Linked DNA regions of Caenorhabditis elegans. The protein of the gene in region 2 interacts with the protein of the main gene of each other region in a pairwise test. Each region holds a gene or a part of one and is shown on either strand. Other genes may lie near its edges.

Evidence for each region.
Region 1: the proteins of scpl-1 (region 2) and arrd-13 interact in a two-hybrid assay, tested with the Caenorhabditis elegans proteins (one large-scale study listed by BioGRID).

What each region holds. Positions count from the first base shown.
Region 1 is NC_003280.10:13,756,578-13,761,874, forward strand, and holds arrd-13 (Arrestin C-terminal-like domain-containing protein), read left to right. Parts: upstream 1-1,830; 5' UTR 1,831-1,843; coding exon 1,844-2,028; intron 2,029-2,179; coding exon 2,180-2,285; intron 2,286-2,784; coding exon 2,785-2,947; intron 2,948-3,535; coding exon 3,536-4,318; intron 4,319-4,370; coding exon 4,371-4,516; 3' UTR 4,517-4,658; downstream 4,659-5,297.
Region 2 is NC_003279.8:10,091,362-10,096,123, forward strand, and holds the start of scpl-1 (CTD small phosphatase-like protein 1), read right to left. Parts: upstream 3,120-4,762; 5' UTR 3,063-3,119; coding exon 2,504-3,062; intron 2,417-2,503; coding exon 2,318-2,416; intron 1,418-2,317; exon of another isoform or gene 1,301-1,417; intron 172-1,300; coding exon 65-171; intron 1-64. UniProt on the Caenorhabditis elegans protein: Phosphatase which may play a role in the egg laying muscles.

The sequences.
Region 1 (5,297 bases), on a different chromosome or scaffold from region 2:
TTTTTTTTTTTTTAGTTCTTTAGTTTTTTTTTTACTTAACAGTTTTGTCTGAGGAAATATTTTTCTGAGTAGTGTGTGTTAGTCACCCCGATTTTGCATTTATTCCTAACAAATATATAATAGGCTGGGTTTTGAAATTCTATTTAAAAAAAAACTGGTCCTATAAAAACGGACGATGAAATTAATGAATTTTTTTTATTTTTAGCATGTTTTAAAGCTATTTTTCTCCATTGTTTGACCTTTTTTGCCAATTTGCCCATTTGCCGGAAATTTCAATTCCGACAAATTGTCGTTTTTCCGACAAATTTTAAATTCCGGCAATGTGCCGATTTGCCGGGATTTTTCATTTTTGGCAAGTTGCCGATTTTCCTAAAATTTCGGCAAATCGTCAATTCGCCGGTTCCCCGATTTGCCGGATATTTTCAATTTTTCCTTTTTTTTTTCAAAATTTGCAATTTGCCGATTTCCTGATTTGCCGGAAATTTCAATTATGGCAATTAGCCAATTTGACGGATATTTTTAATTCCGGCAATGTGCCGCTTAGCCGAAAATTCAAATACCGGCAATTTGCCGATTTGCCGGAAATTATTAATTCCGACAATTTGCCGATTTTCCTAAAATTTCGGCAAATCGGCAGTTTGCCGGTTCCCCTATTTGCCGGATTTTTTTTTTCAATTCCGGCAATTTCCCGATTTGCCGGAAATTTCAATTCCGACAATTTGCCGATTTTCCTAAAATTTCGGCAAATCGGCAGTTTGCCGGTTCCCCTATTTGCCGGATTTTTTTTTCAATTCCGGCAATTTGCCGATTTGCCGGAAAAATCGTTTGCCGCCCACCCCGGGTTCGGCCATTTCTAGCATATTTTTCTCCGTTGTTTGACCTTACAAATTAACTTTCCCGAATGTCAGAAATTTTATCACTATTTCCTATTTAATCAGTAATGCTTCTCCTATGTCTTCTTCCGTTTAGCTTATCAATTCTTCCTGTTTGTGAGCAACGTTTCTTTTTCACAAGTTTAATGGAAAAACGTTGGTCTTTGCCCCGTTCTTTTATCCTCGCTGTTCCCTTTATTTCTCTGCGGCTCTTGCGGAGTGCGATTTTTTTGACCTTCAATACTGCATGTGTCTGTTTGCTTTGTTTCGAGCGGCTATTCCGTAATTTTCATGAAATTGTAAAAAAAAATCTAGTAAAAAATCGTTTAAGAAATTAGAATCAGTTATTAATTTTTTTTTAATTTGAACTTTTAAAATTTATTCTATTACCCAGACACGAGATTTCGCGATTTTTGAGCCACAAATACCAAACACCGGTCTCAACACGACAAATTCTTGATAGAAAGGAAAAGGCGTTCGCCTTTAAAGCGTACTGTAATTTCAAACTTTTGTTGCTGCAGCGATTTCAAATTTCTATGGATTTTTCATAGTTTTATTTTTATATTTGAGAGTTTTTTTTGCTATATTCATGTTTTCCATAAATTAATACATTTTTTTTATCGAAAATGTGTTTATTAGTTATTGAAAACTAAAATCAATTAAAAAAGAAATTTTGAAACTACAGTACTCTTTAAAGGCGCACACTCCTTCTCAAGTACGCAAACACCACATTTTATGACAATTTCTGCAAAATTTATTTCGCTCCTTTTTTTTGAATTAAATTAAATTGTTTTTTTCCTTTCCTTTTCAATTAAAATGCATAATTTTTTTCTATTTTTTTAAAATAAAATATTAAAAATCAAAAATTCGTTTTTTTTTAAATTTTCAGTGTTCTCTCCACCGATTTTCTTCCGGTTTTTTGAATTTTTTAACGATTTTTTAACGATTTTTGTCTAAGTTCCAGGGTTATCATGCCAGAAACGGAGCTTCACGTGATATTCGACCAGCCTAACGAAGTTTTCTTCCCGGGACAACCGATTTCCGGCCGAGTGGTGCTCTCAACGACGAAGGAAAAATACAAGGCTCGGGCGGTGAATATCAAAATTTTGGGATTGGCTCACACCAGTTGGACGGATTATGAGAGTGTTCGCAGAGTGTAAGAAATTTAAGATTTCTGTAGAAAATTTCATTTTTTTTTTGACGAAAAAGCTATTTTTCAAATTTTTTAAAATGGAAAATTGAATAATCAATAAATATTTCCGAATTTTCGAATAACACTAAAAAATTATAAAATTCGAATTTTCCAGTGACGCCGACGGAAAAGTGAGCCACCACCGGCAATCTGTGCACTACTCTGCGAATGTGAACTACCTGGATTATACATTGCTTCTGTGGGCTTGCAAAGATGGATCGGTAGGGTATTTTGAATCAGGGATAGATAGGCAAACCGGCAAAATCGGCAAACCGGCAAATTGACAATCTGCCGCTTTCCAAATTTCCGGCAAAGATGGCATATTGCCGTTTTTCAAGTTTCCGGCTAATTCGGCATATTGTCGTTTTTTCATATTTACATCAAGTTCGGCAATTGCCGTTTTCCAAATTTTCGGCAAATTGCTGTTTTTTTTTTAAATTTCCGGCAAAGTCGGCAAATTGTCGTTGTTCGAATTTCCGGCAAAGTCAACAAATTGCCGTTTTTTCAAATTTCCGGCATATTCGGCAATTGCCGTTTTCCAAATTTTCTGCAAATTGCTGTTTTTTTTTTAAATTTCCGGCTAAGTCGGCAATATGCCGTTTTTTCAAATTTCCGGCAAAGTCAACAAACCGGCAATTTTCCGATTTGCTGAAATTTTCGGTAGCTCAAAATGAAGAATGGTTGAAAATTACAATTATTAGATATCTGAATATTTGTCAGAACGAGTTAGCAGCTGGAGAATACGCCTGGTCATTTTCTTATAATCTTCCTCTCAACGTTCCGCCAAGCTTTGAGGGAAAATATGGATATTTGAGATACTCGGTGACAGCTGAAGTGGATCGGCCATGGAGATTGGATAAGGCAAAGAAGCGATGCATCACTGGTAAGGGCTACAGTTTTAAGCCTAAGCCTGACAATCTAAGCCTGAACCTAAGCCTGAGCCTACGCAGCTGAAGCCTAAGCCTAAACCTAACAATCTAAACATAAGCCTAAGTCTAAGACTAATCCTAAGCAGGAGTGGCATTTTTCGATTTTTCGATGTTTTTTCAGTGAAAATTGAAAAATCGAAAAGAATGTTAAGAAAATTAACCATAAAATATGATTTTTTTTAAAATCTAATTTTGCTTATATTGATGAGAAAAAAACATCAAAATTAATTCTAAAAATAAGAATAATGGCCAAAATATTGTGCTAATATTTTGGAAAATCTAAAAAATTTTCGCAAAATCAGAAAAACGATAATTTTTTAAACATTTTTCGATTTTCAAAAAAATCGAAAAACGAACACCCTTGATCCTAAGCCTAAGCATAGGCCTAAGCCTAAATCTAGACCACTGTCTAAGCCTAAGCCTAAGCCAAAGCATAAGCCTAGGCCTAAGCCGAAGCTTACGCCTAAGCCTAAGCCTAACGGTCTAAGTCTAAGACTAACATTCTAAGCCTAAGCCTAAGCCAAAAATTCAAACATTTTCAGTTTCCCCACTGATCGACCTCAATGTGATCCCCCATGCACTCACCCAAATCAACGACCAGGCTAGCGAGAACCTTGGCTGTTGCTGCTTCAAAAAAGGATATCTCGAACTTCGTGTAAACATCCCGAAAACTGGATTCGTACCCGGCGAGACTGTTCCCATGAACATCCATATTCTAAATCACTCCTCCGTTCCCGTCACCGAAGTCAAGGCGAAAATTATTCAGCAGTGCAAGTTCATTGCATATCGAAACGGTACCACCTTCCATTATGGCGGAGGCTATGAGACTGGAATGTCCGGACAGCTTCAGGAAACCAAACACGACACGAAGACCGTCGTCAAGCATGGCCAGGAAATGACAGTGGCTCCCAGGAATGAGCACAAATTTGCGATGGAGCTCCGTCTTCCGTCTGTAACTCCAACCATCAATCAGTTCTCACCGGTGATTACTGTAGAGTACATTGTGCAATTCCACGTGGAGACCAGCTCAACATTCGGGAGTGATGTTGATTGTGAAATGGGGATCCTGATTGGAACAGTGCCTATTCGGCAGTTCCTTCCACCAGCCTACTATCCACAGGATCCGAATCTTCCACAGATCCTGCCAACTCCGATTGGAGGAGGGGTTGTTGCTCCACCACCAGGGTATGGATTCTTGCCGATGGCAGATGGCTCGGAGAAGGGAGCTGGTGATGCATCATATCCAGCTGCCAGCATGCCAATGTATCCTATTCCGAATGTCCCATATCCTAGCAAAGATGATGGTACTGTAGTGATTCCAAGTGGTGAGTTACTCAGAAGTCCAGCACAATTCTCTAAAATTGCAAATTTTTCCAGCTCCACCACTATCCTACGAAGAATCAATGTTTGGACAAGATGGAACCGAGCTCAACACTGATGAAAATGAGCAACCATTTGCTCCAAAATACCCGGTTTTCAACAATTTGCCAGTTTATAATCCGACAGCGCCACCACCGGAATAATCCGAAGAATGAAGGATTTTCATCGGACTCTGCCCTGCTTTGCCGAATATTGTTCAAAATTATCATTGCTTTTAAAATGTTTTTTTGCCTGGTTGGATGTGTTTTTGTTTTATTTTAATGCATAAATTATTAAACTTCAATCGAATACTTGACATTGAGCAAAAAATGACTAATTGCCGGAATTGAAATTTCCGGCGAATCGGCAAATTGCCGGAATTGAAAATTTCTGGAAAATCGGCAAATTGCCGGAATTGAAAATTTCTGGCATATCGACAATTTGCCGGAATTGAAAATTTCTGGAAAATCAACAAATTGCCGGAATTGAAAATTTCTGGAAAATTAACAAATTGCCGGAATTGAAAATTTCTGGAAAATCAACAAATTGCCGGAATTGAAAATTTTTGGAAAATTAACAAATTGCCGGAATTGAAAATTTCTGGAAAATCAACAAATTGCCGGAATTGAAAATTTCTGGAAAATTAACAAATTGCCGGAATTGATAATTTCTGGCAAATCGGAAAACTGCCGGAATTGACAATATCCGGCAAGCGGCAAATTGCCGGAATTGAAATTTCCGGCGAATCGGCAAATTGCCGGAATTGAAAATTTCTGGAAAATGGGTAAATTGCCGGAATTGAAAATTTCTGGAAAATGGGTAAATTGCCGGAATTGAAAATTTCTGGAAAATCAACAAATTGCCGGAATTGAAAATTTCTGGCATATCGACAATTTGCCGGAATTGAAAATTTCTGGAAAATCAACAAATTGCCGGAATTGAAAA
Region 2 (4,762 bases):
AAACATTTCAATAAATGCACAATTTCTTTCCAATGTTGTGCATTTTCAGAAGAAACCAATGTACCTGTGTGATAAGCTGAATGGGTGGTCCTGTATTTGTTGGTGTAGATGGTCTTCCATTCTGATGATTGTTGTTTGTACTGTTCGTTCGTTGGCTTGATTGTATCTTTTCTGAAAATTTATGAATATTTTCTCCAATTTTGTTAGAATTTCATTCAATTGCCGAAATTTGGTTACGGTAATTGTTGTTAAAGGTGGAGTACTGAAATCTAAGAAATATTTTTAATTGACTCAAAATTTGCCCCTGATTCCGAATATTTATGTGAAAAAAATATAAATCAAATATAACATCAGATAATTTTTTTGAATTTTTTCACACATTCGTTATTCAGGGGCAATTTGGAGTCAATTAAAAATAATTCCCAGATTTCGGTATTCCACCCTTAAGATGATTTTTTGTGATATCTGATCACTGAGCAGTTGCCTCATGCATGCTCATCGGAAAATCATTAAATTTTATTTATCTCTACACCCACAAAACTTTAAAAAAAAGTTCATGTTCATAAATCATAGTTCTTTGTGAAAGGCGTTGTGCCAGGAATCGAGTGGCACCAGATGTTTCGAAAGGATCCGAAAATCCAACTGTGCGGGGGTTCTGATCATCTTTTTTCGTTGAAATTCGAGATAAGAAAGAAAATGATGATATTTTCTGATGAGCAGCGAGGAAGAAAATGTCTGGGAAAATAATATTCTTTGTTTCAAAGTTGTCAATTTTGACATCGATGATTTGACAAGGACAGATTCTGTCTGGGAAGAGTTCCAAAGTATTGTTTTTGAAATGATTGTTCCTATTTTGCAAAAATGAAAAATACGGCAGAATTCAATTTAAATTCCCGCGCAAACGAGTGACATTTTTCAGGAATTCTTCTGTAAAGAAAACCTAGTAATCGGAAGAAAGAAAATCGCTGAGAAACTTTCCAAACAAACAATTTTAAATAATCATTAACAAATCAATACATTTTTCTATCGTTATATGCGTTATTTTTGAAAGTTCTAAATTTGTTCTTTTGGTATTTCTGAATTTCTGAATATCTTGGATAATTTAAAGCCGTTTTTGGTATTTCAAAATCCCTAATACTAATTTTTAATGCTACTTTTAAAATGTTAAACGAGATTTTTTTCCTTCATTTCTCATATGCAAACATTGAAAGTTCAAAAAGTTGCGGTACTCCCTCCGACCGTGAGCTGCGTATTTATGCATGACACATTGCCTGAGGGGAGATTATTTGCAAATAAATCAAAACCAGCTGCCCTCGCCTTTTTTTCCTTTTTCGCAAAAGTTCAACTCACTTTGCTGTCTATCGACAAGTTTGATAGCCGCGTTCGTAAATCGGAAAATATTGGCGAATTTCGGGGTAAAGGAGAAATTATGAGTTTTTTTTTTGAAATATTGAAATGCACACAAGAATGGGAAATCAGAAGCGTGGGGTGGTTTCCGACTGATGATTGAAGTTTTTGATGGATAAAAATGAAAGAGATGGAAGATTTGGTGTAATAACTGGAACACTACCACTGAAGAGAAAGAGAAATAAAGAAAAAATGAAGATGAAAACACTCATTTCGTTTTCTAGAAAACATAAAAGCGGCGTTATTAATTACTCGAAATTTTGAACTTTTCTATGATTAAGAACATTTTTCAATTGTTAAATAATAGAAGATAGTCTAAAATTATCGAATATGCCTATAAAGTGTTTAAAATTTTGTCTTTTTTTTTGCAAAACTTTCAAATTTTCGCACAAACTGGTTACTGTAACAAGACCAAATTTCCTTTTTTTCTTTAGCTTTTTCTTGTGGAAATTTTCAAAAAAAAATTTTTAACATGTCTTTATATTAAATTTTTCTGGAATTTCAAAAATTTGTCGCTTAAAATAAACAAAACAATTTTTTAAAATTTTTTCAGTCTATTTTGTTATAGGAAAGTGTGAAAAGCATACAGAAATTCCAGGAAATTTTTTTTACAAATAATGTTATTTAAAAAAATTTATTGAGTTACAGTAACCGTTTTTGGTGGCAATTTAACAAATAATTCAGAAATTTGAAAAAAAATTTGCAAAATTGAAGGAAAACTCCCGAAAAAAGATAAATTTTTGTAGTCAAATTGGATCATTTCAGACTACATCCATTTTCTCTTCAGAAATTGAAAATTCATTTTTTTAATTAAATTTTTTTTAGTGAACTCTTGGAGCATTCTACATAACTTAAATAACCCCAAATTTTTAAAAGAATTTTGATAATTTTAAAATGAAAAATCACATACCAATCTCTCTGGGTGGAGTCACACAACAGAAAAGTGTCTGAAAACAGCGTGCCCATCTTGGTTTCCTTCTCGCTGTTGATCGCTTTTTCTCGATTGATGCTGAAACTGATACAAAATATTAATTACAAAAAAAAAAACAATTCAGTTTATTTTTAAATTAACTTTTCACATTCCCGGTTATCTCACCATTGGCTGAAAATGAATTTAACGGTGTACTAGCCGTATCATCATCTTTTCTTGATGTTCCACCCCAAACTACATTTTTTGGGTTTTCTCCTCCACCATCTCGATTCATTTTCCCTCCATTTTTCTCATCTTTTGTAAGTTTTGCACGTGGCATTGCGGGAATATTACGGTAGATTCCAACTGGAGGACTCATCACAGATTCTGGTGTATTCTGTGGAAATGGTGGATATCTAAGACCATTTTGTGGTGATGATGTCGATGGTGTGAATCCATTTATTGTTGACCTTCCCACAGGATTTGGTTTTACAGGTTTCATTTTCCTCTGTGGTGGTGGAAATTGAATATTATGACGACTGTAGTAACACGTTATTCCAGACTTTTCATCTTCCGATTTACTCCAATAGTCCAAACTGTTGGCACCGTTTTTTGGTTGAAGTGGTTGCGATGCGGATCCTTTCCGCACGCCATCTTTCAACATCGGCGGACCAACTGGAGTACGTGGTGGAGGCACAATCGACGAGTAGACGACGGCGGATCGAGTCGATTCAGCGTAGGTCATCCGATGATTATGATGACTGGGGAAGAAGGTGGATGATGGAGGATCGACGAGATATTTCTTGAAATAAGGAAATGGGGTTTTGGAATATGATAAGTTTGATGTTCGAAGAGAAATAGAGATTAATAAGAAAATTGAAGAAGTAGAATATTTGAAACATTACGAAGTGGGCGGAAATCGTTTTTTTTAAATCAATTCGATAATCGACAATTCGAATTTTTTAGAAAAATGATTCAAAAAAATTAATGATCAAAACTTATTAAAAATATGAGGATTTTGATCTCTGGTAATCGGAACTTTTTTCCGATAACTATTGTCAAATTTCAAATTTTCAAAATTTTATTCATTTCCGAATAATAGAATTGCCGCCCAAACTCTAGACATATTGAGAGAAAGAAAAAATAATAAAAATATGAGGAAACAATTTTGTTATTGTTGAAAAGTCCATGGCAAGAATTTATGGGGAAGTGGTTGGCTAATAAAAAAAACAGACAGGTGTGTGTTTTGATGGGAGAGTCTCTGGAGAGAACTAAATCTGTTTTCTTGTCTCACATAAGATACATAGAATGTTTGTTCGTTTCAACGCATAAACGGGGCAAAACCCAAACATATCTAATTTCAATGGTTTTAGAAACATTGACATTCAAGGGGTTTCAGAGGTGAAAAGAGCAGAGAACAAAGAAGAAGAAAAAGAAGAACTAGCTTCTTCAGAAACACAAATTATCTGAGGTATCCCGAGGGCAGAGGTGAAGTGCTTGTTGAAATGAGCACGCAAACTACTCTCTTTCTGTTTCTCTTTTCTCGTATCTTTCCCCTAAATCATCTGCTGCTCCCAGAGCACAGTCTGGTTATTGCAAAGAACGCGGCGCCTTCCGTGCGCGCTGCTGCCAAAATGTGCAAAAGAAGTGCTTGACAAAGAACAAATAAGCATTGCCGTATGCCGTATGCCGCGTGAGGGTAAAGGCGCGACGTGTGTGTATATACCATAAGTAATATAAACTTGCTGCTCACTTCAACGAGTACTTGCTCACCGATTAGTGGCGGATCATGAAGGGCGCGGAAGTCGGCGGCAGGTCTCACATGTTGGCAATGTGCCAATCACGTTGAGCTTTTGAAAAGCAACGCCCAGAGAGCTCAAAAGAGCTGCTACTGAACATAAAAATAGATTCGGGTGCATGAGGTGGACGTCAATCATCATAATAAGAGTTTATATACACGCTTTTAGAAAGAAATAAGGACCACGATGAAAGGAAATGTCGTGGAGCAAAAGAAAGGAGCAGGCGTCACTCAACAAGGTCGCTCTCACGGCGACTTTCTTCACGCTTCAAATGGCTTTTCCTTTGATGGACTCGATTCATGATGGAGCAGGAAATGGGAAAATAAATATTTAGAGAGGTCAAGGGTCTCCAGAAAAATATTCAAAAATACCTTATGGTCTAAAAAGCTATGCCATTGTTTTTCACAAGAATTACATCGCTTCTCTCGGTTACCAAGGAAACCTTTTGAAACGGATTAACGGTAATAGAATTCAGAATATTGTGCCTCGTGTGTACTTTAAAATTAGATATTTAAATATTTTTCCATATTCTATTTCCCTTCGAAAAACATCCAAAATCTGCTCAGAAACGTCTTAAAAGAAATTCAAAAAGCAATAAAACTCACAAGATTTGTTGTTTTGAACGTGTCTGGTGGCCGCCGCAAAA